Arabidopsis thaliana: one gene and its partner. The protein of the gene in region 2 purifies or fractionates together with the protein of the main gene of each other region. This does not show direct contact. Each region holds a gene or a part of one and is shown on either strand. Other genes may lie near its edges.

What was found.
Region 1: the proteins of AT1G49250 (region 2) and ATMND1 fractionate together in Arabidopsis thaliana (co-fractionation; one large-scale study listed by BioGRID). This does not show direct contact.

Annotation. Positions count from the first base shown.
Region 1 is NC_003075.7:14,381,294-14,386,269, reverse strand, and holds ATMND1 (Mnd1 family protein), read right to left. Parts: upstream 3,435-4,976; 5' UTR 3,286-3,434; coding exon 3,283-3,285; intron 2,814-3,282; exon of another isoform or gene 2,719-2,813; coding exon 2,638-2,718; intron 2,454-2,637; coding exon 2,337-2,453; intron 2,228-2,336; coding exon 2,189-2,227; intron 2,090-2,188; coding exon 1,982-2,089; intron 1,901-1,981; coding exon 1,838-1,900; intron 1,757-1,837; coding exon 1,705-1,756; coding exon of another isoform or gene 1,700-1,704; exon of another isoform or gene 1,564-1,699; coding exon 1,519-1,563; intron 1,423-1,518; coding exon 1,343-1,422; intron 1,247-1,342; coding exon 1,142-1,246; 3' UTR 805-1,141; downstream 1-804. Other genes in the region: RHS16 (root hair specific 16), read right to left, coding at 1-280, 561-639; SNF7.1 (SNF7 family protein), read right to left, coding at 3,928-4,122, 4,202-4,316, 4,487-4,578, 4,666-4,751, 4,830-4,929. UniProt on the Arabidopsis thaliana protein: Required for proper homologous chromosome pairing and efficient cross-over and intragenic recombination during meiosis.
Region 2 is NC_003070.9:18,218,954-18,225,098, forward strand, and holds AT1G49250 (ATP-dependent DNA ligase), read left to right. Parts: upstream 1-1,579; coding exon 1,580-1,748; intron 1,749-1,837; coding exon 1,838-2,178; intron 2,179-2,426; coding exon 2,427-2,528; intron 2,529-2,602; coding exon 2,603-2,719; intron 2,720-2,813; coding exon 2,814-3,044; intron 3,045-3,149; coding exon 3,150-3,244; intron 3,245-3,248; exon of another isoform or gene 3,249-3,335; coding exon 3,336-3,423; intron 3,424-3,647; coding exon 3,648-3,773; intron 3,774-3,870; coding exon 3,871-3,983; intron 3,984-4,059; coding exon 4,060-4,161; intron 4,162-4,248; coding exon 4,249-4,310; intron 4,311-4,398; coding exon 4,399-4,470; intron 4,471-4,559; coding exon 4,560-4,633; intron 4,634-4,725; coding exon 4,726-4,782; intron 4,783-4,881; coding exon 4,882-4,959; intron 4,960-5,059; coding exon 5,060-5,137; intron 5,138-5,234; coding exon 5,235-5,303; 3' UTR 5,304-5,372; downstream 5,373-6,145. Other genes in the region: AT1G49245 (Prefoldin chaperone subunit family protein), read left to right, coding at 1-132.

The DNA of each region.
Region 1 (4,976 bases), on a different chromosome or scaffold from region 2:
CCATCGTAGTTTCCATACATAAACGAAGCTCTGATGAGATAAAGATTCCCTTTTCCATCGGAGGGGGTTAAGGTGTAACAGTTCCTGTTTCCTTGAGGAAAAGATCTTACATCAGCAAGCGGGAAAGGCAAAACCGGGTTTTTCGGGTAACCGTATTCTTCAGAGACGTTCAGATTTACTCCAGCGTTGATGAAAGGTGCATCCCAGGTGTAACTGATACCAGTATCAGTGTCTACATAGTTAATATTAGGGGGTGACCCACAATCTATGCTGATGAAACCTGGACCAGAAGAAGGTAAGGGTTTTGATTAATTCTACAACGTTGAGAAAATTTTCATCAAAATTCCAATGCAGGTTTAAATTTTAGAACCTAAAGCATTCAATCATAGAAACAGACTTGGACCTCACTTATCATGTCAAACCAATAATCAGAACACGGTTTTGGCCAAAATGCAACCACATATATCAAAACTTCAAAAATCTTTGGTCTGAAGATTGCTCATTTTCAAATCAAAACAGACTCTAACAGAGGAAAATAAGCGAGAATGAGACTCACGAACCTGCTTGGCCTTGGCCATGTACTACAATGGCAATGGCAATGACGGAAAAAAGGATGAGAAAAACAGAGTGAGCTCCCATGTTCTTCTTATTTTGTAAAGCTCAGCTCATCATCGTCAGAAAAACAGACAACCTGCGTTTAAGATAACACAAAAACACAAAAGACTAGAAAGTACAAAGTCTATGCCCATTTCCTCTTCTGGTAGCAACAAAATTGACCTGGAGGTGTATAACATAAGTGCTGCTCACGACTGAAAAAAGCGGCCAAGAAAGAATATAAAATGGTAATACAGCTATCAAGAAGTAACCAGTGGGTCAACAACTAACGCATGATATATATATAACTCCAATAAAATATTATAACAAAACATAGCCAAGCTTGGACATAGCCGACAGATACAAAGAAAATAAAAATCTTTTCTGACCACAGAATTTGTAACCGAGTTTTGACATTAGATGATTGGGTCACATAGAGAATTACAGACTGTTGCAACCTTTAAAACCAGAAAACTTAAAAGGATAGTGAAAAGATTTTTTACTTAAGCTATTGTTTCTTTAACTGTTATGCTGGAGAGTATTAGAACTAAGCTTCATCTTGTACTAGCTGCTTTGCGGTATCAGCTTCATGGGATGAGCTCAAAGGGAATGATGATAACTCTATGTAATCAAAGTCCTCAGTGATTCCCGCCTGAAAGTTACCCAGCTGATTTAGTCTCTCCTTCATGTATGAGAATGTGAAATGTGGAATTTATAGCCTTTTGAAGTGAAAAGATCTGGAAGATACCTCCGTGTATAGATGTTCTAGCTGTTCCTTGGCCTGGGGGAAGTTGTTTGAACACCATTGTCGCAGTGTGAAGATGTTATCTGAGTAAGTTTGAAAGAATTATAATCTAGGCTGCAGTGAAAATTACGTAAGTATTAAAACTGAAAACACATTCCCAAGTTTTAGAAATGAAATACCTGTCCATCTGTTAGCCGACTGGTGAGCAACTTCAATTGCATTCCCTGTCAAAATTAGAAGGAATATACACATTGATACAGCTAGTAAAGCACAAGATTGATTCTTATTTCTGCTCCACGAAGACCGGGAAAACCATATAGGAGATCTAACACAAAACAAAAGTAACGTATTATGCAGAACTTAACTCTTTGCCTCCAAAGTAGCTGGATCGTTGTCAGCAAATTGTACCATCTCGTTCTGTTTAAGAAGAAGAAACTGTTAGCAACTTGTTAAGCATGTGAATAGCTCTATGCAAACAGATAGTCTGTATAATCTGACCTTCAGATCTTTGTGTTTCTTTTCAATATCTTTGAGTTGCGTCAAGGCCTCTGTTCGTTCCTCCTGCAGCAAGAACAGCAATTCTGGTGAAAAGCACACGTAAGCTTATTCGAGCATTAATTCTACAATACTGAAAATACTTACCGATTCTTCCCTTCCCTTCTTTAGGGCCTCACACTGATCAACAAGTTCTGCTAACCTTTTGTTACTACCCTGAAGATCAGATTCAAGTTTCTGGCGAACACTCCTAAGCTGTTCATTCAAAATGAGATCAGAAACAATGAATTTCGCTATGCTCAAATTAATATGAATCTTTTTGATGTCATCTCAGGATACAGAACGGTGACTCACTTGATTGCCAGCACAGCTGGGAAGGCTCCAAAAGTAGATCTTCATTTGCAAAATAATGAACACCGTCAAACAACATATAACAGAGACAAGGACTATATGGCAACAAATGAAATAAAAAGATCCAACATAGGAACACTAAGCTACTCACAGAAATTCCAATCTTGTCTTTCGCAACAAGATCATCATCGACTAAACTCTGGATAACATCTTTCACAGACTGACTAATTACACCCTTCTTCGGCCCCATCTTCTCAAGTTCCTTTAGCTGAAATTTTTTTACAAAAGTAGAGACCCATAAGTGCTTGTATCACAAACCCAAAAGTTCAATAGCAACAAATTTAGGCAGTATATGCACTTCACGACTCTAGATATCAGATCACTTGGTAGATAAAGCTAGTTCAAAGGCGTCCAAAAATTAGCAAGTTGTAAAAACTAAAGAAAGTGCTCACTAGGAAGAAGTCTTGAGACTCATAGAATATCTGAAGCATCTTCTCTCGTTTCTCCTCCAGCGAAAGTCCCCGTTTCTTAGACTGAATATCATCAACAATAGAAAGCAGCGATTCAGTTGATACGAGAATGACGAAAAAAAACTTCAGAGCTTCAATGACGAAATCCAACAAATGATCTGTCAACAAATAGTTTCCAGATCGAAAATGTCAAAAATATATACAGTCAACTCAGCGACTACACTGATTGCGAGAATTGGCTGCTAGATAAATGCTAATTCGAGAACCTATCGATTCGCGTCATGCAGTCCAAGTGTTTGCGGAAATTCCTCACACAAATTTGTAATGAACTACGGAAGATAGAAACATTACTACCGATGAACGATAAGTTTAAACAAATTTCTTCGAAGAGTAAGAGAAACACATAACGATGACTACTAAACATTCAAACAAATAGGTCGAATCAATACATCCAAAATTCTCTTGTAAGTCGAAGAATCACAAGCTAAGATCATCAGTGTAAGATAATCACGATTCATAGAATCATAGAGAATAATCACTCGATCTTCCCAGGAAAATGCACAAATCACAGAGGTTCATTAGCGAAACAAAATCACAAGTAGAGAACATTCGTCCAGAGTATATTACCATCGTGATCTCTTGCTCCTGGTGATGCAATCCAAAGGATTTCAAACACTGCTACAGCTCTCTCTCACTCTCTTCCCTCACTATCGTCTCCTCTCTTTATCAAATTCGAAATGAGAGAATTGTAGAAGAAGCCTTGAAAACTTAAGCGGGTTATTATCCCTCGCTTTCTGTTTCATTTTTTATTCCAATTAATTTGAATTTAACCTTAAAACGACACGGAGTCCAATTTTATGGTACCAAAACGGCATGATGTTTGTTAAAGCAGCGAAGTCAACGTATATGGTTGACTATTCATGAGTAGTCTTATCAGGCGAAAGTGATGAACATAGGAGTAAAGTGATTATTAACCAAAGGAAAAAGTGTCATAAAAAGATACAAAAATTACAAAAGATAAATTATGTGAAGAACACTCAAATTGCAGATAACATTAACGACGGGGATTATAAAAGTTTTTCGCTCCGAATTAATCTGATTCAGATCCTTATATACATCGTCTGTTCGTGTCTATCAATGCATACATGTCTCTGCTCGGAGAGGTGAATAACCTGCAGTTAAACCAAGCCAATTGCAAAACTAGTTAAATTACAAATCCATAGTCTGTAAGCAAATTGATTGATTTTGCTTTGATTATAGATAGAAGAGACCTTAGAGGGCCATCTCAGCCTGTAATGCAGCGAGTTCTTCTTCCTCAGCAGTCCGCTTCTGGGGAACAGGACGAGCCGGTTGACGCCCTGCAGGCACTGGAACTGAAGGCAATGGAGGAGCTGTTGTTGCCGGCTGTAGAAGTTGCGATTCAAGCTCTTCACTTTCTAGTTCATCAAGCTCTGCTGCAAGCTCATCCTATCAAAGAGAAGTTTTTCTTAGACAAAAGTCATTATTAGTTGAAAAATATATGATCATTTGGGTACAAGAAAGTTACCTCGTCGAAGTCAGCCGCTGCCCCCATTGGAGTCGCCAATGCTTCTTGGATCTGTTTCATGTTCTCGGTTTGCTCATTGATCTCGTCCATGGTCTTATCCACATCATCAATATTTCTGCAAAATATTGTGTTTTGAGTTAGTCAGGCACTAGAAATGTTAAAGCATTCAAGCACAAGAAAAGCATAAGTATTTTGAATACCAAGCTCGTATTAACGATTCCCAGAACTGATGACGGTTAAAATGGTAGTAAAGAGTAATATGGTGAAAATGTGATGAACACTTACGTTGCTTTCTGCATTGCCTTCATTGCAGAAGCTCCACTCCTCAATGCATCAACAGTTTCGGTTGTTGCTTTTGCACCTTCTAACATAATCATCTGTATGACAAAAAGATATAAGATCCCAATAAATTCATCTAATTACTGCTATATAGTTTATAGTTAACAATCTTAAAACAAACTCACTTGATCATGAATACGGAGCTGGAAATTCCCAAGCTGTTCGACTTGTCCCTCATATAACCTCTTCCTTTTCAAACACTGTATAGCCGCTGCAAAAACCCAATACAGCTTTTAAGTACTCCAGTGATTAGCAACACACATGAGTCATAATAAATAAGAGGTCATACCTCGTTTGTTCTTAGCCCGGGAGTATTCTTTTGCCTTCTCAACCTCTGCACCAGCTTTCTTCAAGAGTACTTTCTCCTTTTTCTCTAGCATCTCAAGCGTCTGCAATGAACAAATCAACAAAATTTGAATATGGTTTAAAAGCAAAC
Region 2 (6,145 bases):
TCTTCTCGAAGTATCTACCAGAAAAACGGTAACCTCTTCTTCCTCACATCAGCCGAGAAAGCGAAAATCTCTGCGCAGAAACAACTTGATTACGCTAAATCTGAAATCAACAAGATTCGTTCGCAGAAATAAACAATGGAGATTTCTAGTTGCTGAAGATCCAACAAGGCTGTTCCTTTTTTTTATGATGTATCTCTGATTATTGATGCTATATAAATTTTCATTAGTTCGTGTATGATCTTGAACTATCTTGGAATTGCTTTAAATTACTTGATTTTGATATGATAATCAGCTAATTCTGATAGTAATTTTAATTCACCTTGAATTTACTTTGATCACTTTACATTTTGATTATCTGAATAGCTGATTCTAGTGTTGAGACTACTTGTTCTTGGTAACACTATATGGCCACTGAATAGTCAGGGTTAGTGCCTTAGTTTGGAATTATTCAATGGAACATTTTCTTTTACCTTGAGAAACAGAAAACATTTTCTTTAGGACAGATTTGTCAACTCTTTTGTCTAGCATTAAGATTCAATATCAGAATCAGAATCAGAAGAGAGATAATCATCTTCCTCAAGACTTGGAACTCAGTCATCATCCTCCACGAGAAGAGCTTCCAGTGCCTCGAGAGATTTTATCTTCCACTTCAAAAGCAGAATTCTCTGCGTCAATTCCTGAATTAGTTGAATGCTTCTTTTTCTTACTGAAAGCCTGAAGAAGAGCTCCACTAGTAAGCGACAGATTTTTGCTAGGTACCGCATCAAACCCCCTCTACATATGTTGGGTCTAGATTCACAGAGGCATTAGTGACAACTTCATGTGCTAGTTGCATTGCCATTCCTGGTCAGAGAAGTAAGTTAGCAGACGAGAGATCTTGATTTTCATCACACCAACCTGAGAGATATGAAAATTCAAGCAAATTAAGATCTTGTGAAATTACCTACACCCATGGATTTGAGTTAGGTTGAAGTGATTGAGTAGAGCTTCATCCTCAATTTTGGCAATTAACATATCCTGAAGTAACTACTCACCAGAGATGCAGCATATGGTAAGAGTTTGGCTGCAAAATGAATAAATACGAGGATGATGTTTAGCTTCCACGGCACAGAAAATGTGTTGTAACAATCATATGGACAATGCCTTCCTGCACATCCAATACCAATCAAAAATTTAAATTACATGACCGCAATATGGTTGCTAAAATAAATACAATACCTCACTAAATTCTAATAGCAATTAATCCGGATTTCTAGTAGGTTATGATTCTGCTACATCGGATTTAAACAGAGGAATTGATGCATAACTCTTACGTGTTAACCATTGAAATCAAAGTGGTAGAACATTCTTAGCACAAAACAAAGGTTAAATAAATGAAGCTAATTTTTTCTTTTATAATTTCAGGTTGGCTCCATGAATGTAATGGAATAAAAATCATACTAAAACAGAAAACTTTCTAGATACGCTAGGGTTGGATAATCTCGCTCTTATCTTCTTCTCTTCGTCAATCGATTCTCTTCTCCACTCTTCTGGAGAAGCTCTTGCTTATAACATAGTGATATCTGCATTTGACGTTCTCATGTCGAATGCTTCCGCCAAGAAGAAGAGAAAACTCGAGGAAACCGTAGATACGCCACCGACTAGGGTTGATGACAAAACCCTAGTTCTTATTTCTGATTCGAAAAAACCCAAATCAGATAGGGTTACCAAACTGAAGAGCAAAATTGGGTTGCTGAAGAAGAAGCCAAGTGATTTCGATCCGGAAAAGTGTCTTGTTGGGAGAAACGGGAGAGAGTTCCGTTTATGTTTCTCTCCTTAGCTTTTGATCTGATTGCAGCTGAAAGTGGCAGGATTGTCATCACTCATATTCTGTGTAACATGTTGAGAACCGTTATCGCCACTACTCCTGATGATTTGCTACCTACTGTTTATCTTGCTGCAAATGAGATTGCCCCTGCTCATGAAGGTATTAAATTGGGAATGGGTAAGGGTTCCTACATTATTAAGGCAATCTCTGAAGCTTTTGGTAGAACTGAGTCCCACGTTGAGCAGCAATATACGCAACTGGGAGACTTGGGGCTTGTAGCAAATGGGAGCCGTTCCTCTCAGACTATGATTTTCATGCCCAAACCATTAACTGTTGTCAAGGTTGCTGATACACTTCGCCTAATTGCTAAGGTATTTTAGACCATCTATCTCTATTTTTTTTACTCTAAAATAGAGCGTAGTAAAAATAGTTGCTCTGAATATAGAGCAATCCTCTCTTTTACTTTATTTTAGAGTGAGATACAAAAGTAGGTTGGAGAGAAATTTGCTCTATAATAGAGTTTAGAGGAGTGGGGTTGGTGATTCTCTTAGACACTTTCTTGTGTTTGCTTTAAATTTTCTTTCTTTTTGATTAGTTGTTGGACTATGTTATGTGTTAGGAATCTGGAAAAGGTAGTAAGGATAAGAAGAAGGATCTAATGAAGGCACTTCTTGTGGCAACTACAGATTGTGAACCTCTTTACTTAACTCGTTTACTTCAGGTATGTTAGATCAATTGTTACAAAAAAAAAAAATCTGCTCATTCCTTTGTGTTCCTTATTCCGTTACAATGCAGGATAATTTGCGGTTAGGGTTCTCACGTCAAACTGTTTTAGCTGCCTTGGGACAGGCTGCTGTATATAACGAAGAGCATTCTAAGCCGCCCCCAAATATCAAGAATCCTTTAGATGAGGTTTGCTTCTCAAGGATGTTACTTGTGGCTTTAGGCTCTATTTGCAGTATTCCTTTAGAGACGTCACAACTTACCTTGTTGTCTGTCCTTGTAGGCTGCAACGATTGTTAAAGAAGTATTCTCAATGCTTCCTGTCTATGACATTATTGTTGGTGCTCTTCTAACTAGTGGTGTATGGAATCTTCCTAAAACTTGTAACCTCACACTCGGTGTTCCAGTTAGGCCCATGCTTGCAAAAGCAACTACAAGAGTAGATCTCATACTTGAGAAATTCAAGGACACTGTTTTCACAGCTGAATACAAATATGATGGTGAACGTGCACAGGTGATCCATTGCTTTCTACTCTTATCCGATGAATGCTATTATTCGTAAAGCAAAGTTATTTATATGTGCTGCTACGTTTGGCTTTTCATCAATCTATTCTCGCAGATATATTATATGGAGGATGGTACAGTCGAGATATTCAGTAGACATGCTGAAAGAAACACTGGCAAGTACCCTGATGTTGCTCTTGTGTTATCAAGGTGCACTTGTTTGTTGTGTTGTTACTTGTTGAAAAAATTAGAATGAGCCCATATTTCTAATGAAGTTAGTGTAAATATCTTCTCTATACAGGTTAAAGAAGCCCACTGTGAAATCTTTTATTCTGGATTGCGAGGTTGTCACCTTCAACAGAGAAAAAGAGAAAATTCTTCCACTCCAGGTACCTCAATAGCCAGGCTTTATGGTTGCAAATATGAACATTCTTGTTTTTCTTCTTGTTAGCCAATGAACGATCAAATTAAGCTTAAGCTCTACTAGACCAGATTTTGGTGATTTGACAACAATTTTTTTTGCCAACATTAGTTTAAAGATAACTTGTTACAGTTACTGATAGTTTAGGTTTTTATATGTCTTGTTTTCTTTGTTTTCTTTTCTCAGACTTAGAGTACACGAGCCCATAAAAATGTGAATGTCAGTGATATCAAGGTTGGCGTATGCGTCTTTGCTTTTGATATATTATACCTAAATGGCCAACTACTTATCCATGAGAATCTGAACATTCGCCGAGAGGTAAGCCATATATTAGTAAATCGTAAAATGGTTTATCAGTGAAGCAACTAGTGTTGTGCAAATATGTAATCATTTGTTTGCACCTTGCTTCTGCCAGAAGCTACACGATTCATTTGAGGAAGATCTTGGGTATTTCCAGTTTGCAACTGCTCTAACATCCAACGATATTGGTGAATTACAAGAGTTTCTTAAAGCTTCTATTGACATAGGGTAAATATTCATATGACACTGCCTCATAATCTCTATGATGTTTCAATTCTTCATCACAAGTATGTTATTTTGGCAGATGTGAAGGTTTAATGATAAAGTCATTGTACTCAAATGCAACCTATGAGCCTGCAAAGAGATCAAATAATTGGCTAAAACTGAAGAAGGACTATATGGACAAGCAATAATACTCTTTTAAACAAAAAAAATTTAAAAGTTAAGATAGTAGAGTCCTTTACTAACTAACTCTAGGGTATATATGCTGCAGCATTGGAGATTCCGTGGATCTTGTACCAATAGCTACGTTCCATGGACGTGGGAAACGCACAGGTACAAACACCATTCGAAATGTGTAGATGATACATTTTTTTCACAAGTGATGTTGTTAACGGAAGCTATATGTATGCTCTCCTTATAGGTTTCTTTGGTGCATATTTACTAGCGTGCTACGATGTTGATAAGGAAGAATTCCAGAGCATTTGTAAAATTGGTCAGTCTAATGCACCTTGGCATTTCATTCTTTTTGTTATGTTTCTCAATTTCCTCTCCTACATTTTTGTTTACAAATTGGGCTAGTAGGTACTGAATTTTCTGATGTGGAGCTTCAAGATTTGTCTTCCAGTCTTTGCTCTAAAGTGATTGCTACTCCGAAAGTAAGATAATTATTTCTTCTCTCTAGCTTATTTGTTTGATGCAGTACCATATATGTTATGTTGCCTGAGAGTTCTTGCTGATTATAAACCAGCAATACTACCAAGTCGATAACGATCTCAATCCAGATGTCTGGTTGGAGCCCACCGAGGTATGCCTTATAGTAATATTTGTAGATAACGTACGTCCACGTTCTATCTTATGGGTCCAAGTGTATTGATGCAAAGCTAAATAATATGCTTGCTTGAAGGTGTGGGAAGTGAAAGCAGCTGACTTGACAGTTAGCCCTGTATATCGTGAAGCTATTGGAATTGTGGACCCTGACAAGGTTCAACATTAGCATACGTATTTTTTTTATATTTTTCTTCATTTGAGCTATTGCATTTACGATTGGACTTTTTCATTTTTCTGTTTGTTATGGTTAAAAGGGAATTTCTCTACGATTTCCTCGTCTAGTCCGTATACGGAAAGACAAGAATCCAGAGGAAGCAACAACATCTGACCAGGTGAAAGCTCTTCTCACCCTAACCACAATCATAGACATGACTAGGCTGGTTTCTGATTTTTGTTTTTAATTTATAAATTTCCGATGCATATTTTCAGATTGCTGAAATGTATCAAGCTCAGAAACACAATCAACCAAGCAATCAAGGCAAAGTGGACGACGATTGAACAACGACTGTAATTTGTTGTCGGAGCATCTTTCCAGACAAAATTTCTTTTTCATTACCAGTATGCACCCATTGTAATGAACGAATGATATTTGCGTGTTTATCATATTGCTTTTACTTTTCTTGGGCTCAACGTTTCCTTTTTCCTTTTTAACTTTTCATTTACCCATAGATCTATTCCAGTGGCCCGATTCCACAAAGTTTCTAGCTCAATTCTCAATCTAGCACAATAGAAAACAACCTAGGATCATCATTTACAAGCGATTTTTTTTTCGTTATCTCATCTGCCACTCAAAGGGCTAATCAAATGCTTGATGTTGTGAAACATTGGTCTTTGATATAATAAACTACGTATTCATTTCCAAAATAGTACGCTGATTAATGAGTTTAAGCTTGTTTAATTTGGAGCATTTCCTTGTCTCTATTCTTCTCATTCTTCCCCTTGGTTAGAACCCAATGACTAGTTTTTGTGTAGACCCTTGTATAGCTCTCCTTTGAGTTATAATGTATCTTTCGAAATACATATAAGGTATCGTTCTAAACCCAAACGTTACGGAAAATTCCGTAATGTCGCCAAACGAGAATCCAAGTAAGATTCCTCTTCATGTCTTTGATGTATTTGTCCTTTTAGAAATTGATCAAGGTATATAAGTACCTTCGGACTCTTAGGTTTATCGAGTTGGGTGACATTTCTCGGTTCATGCAGAGACATGACGCGTTAAAGGCTCTAAACCTTTTTCGGAGAAAAGAAGGAAGATGAGACAATCAGGATAAGTAGCCCACTTCTCCAAGAATGGATTGTAAGTGATCCAAACTTATATATTTCTCACAAGTTTTAGGTGA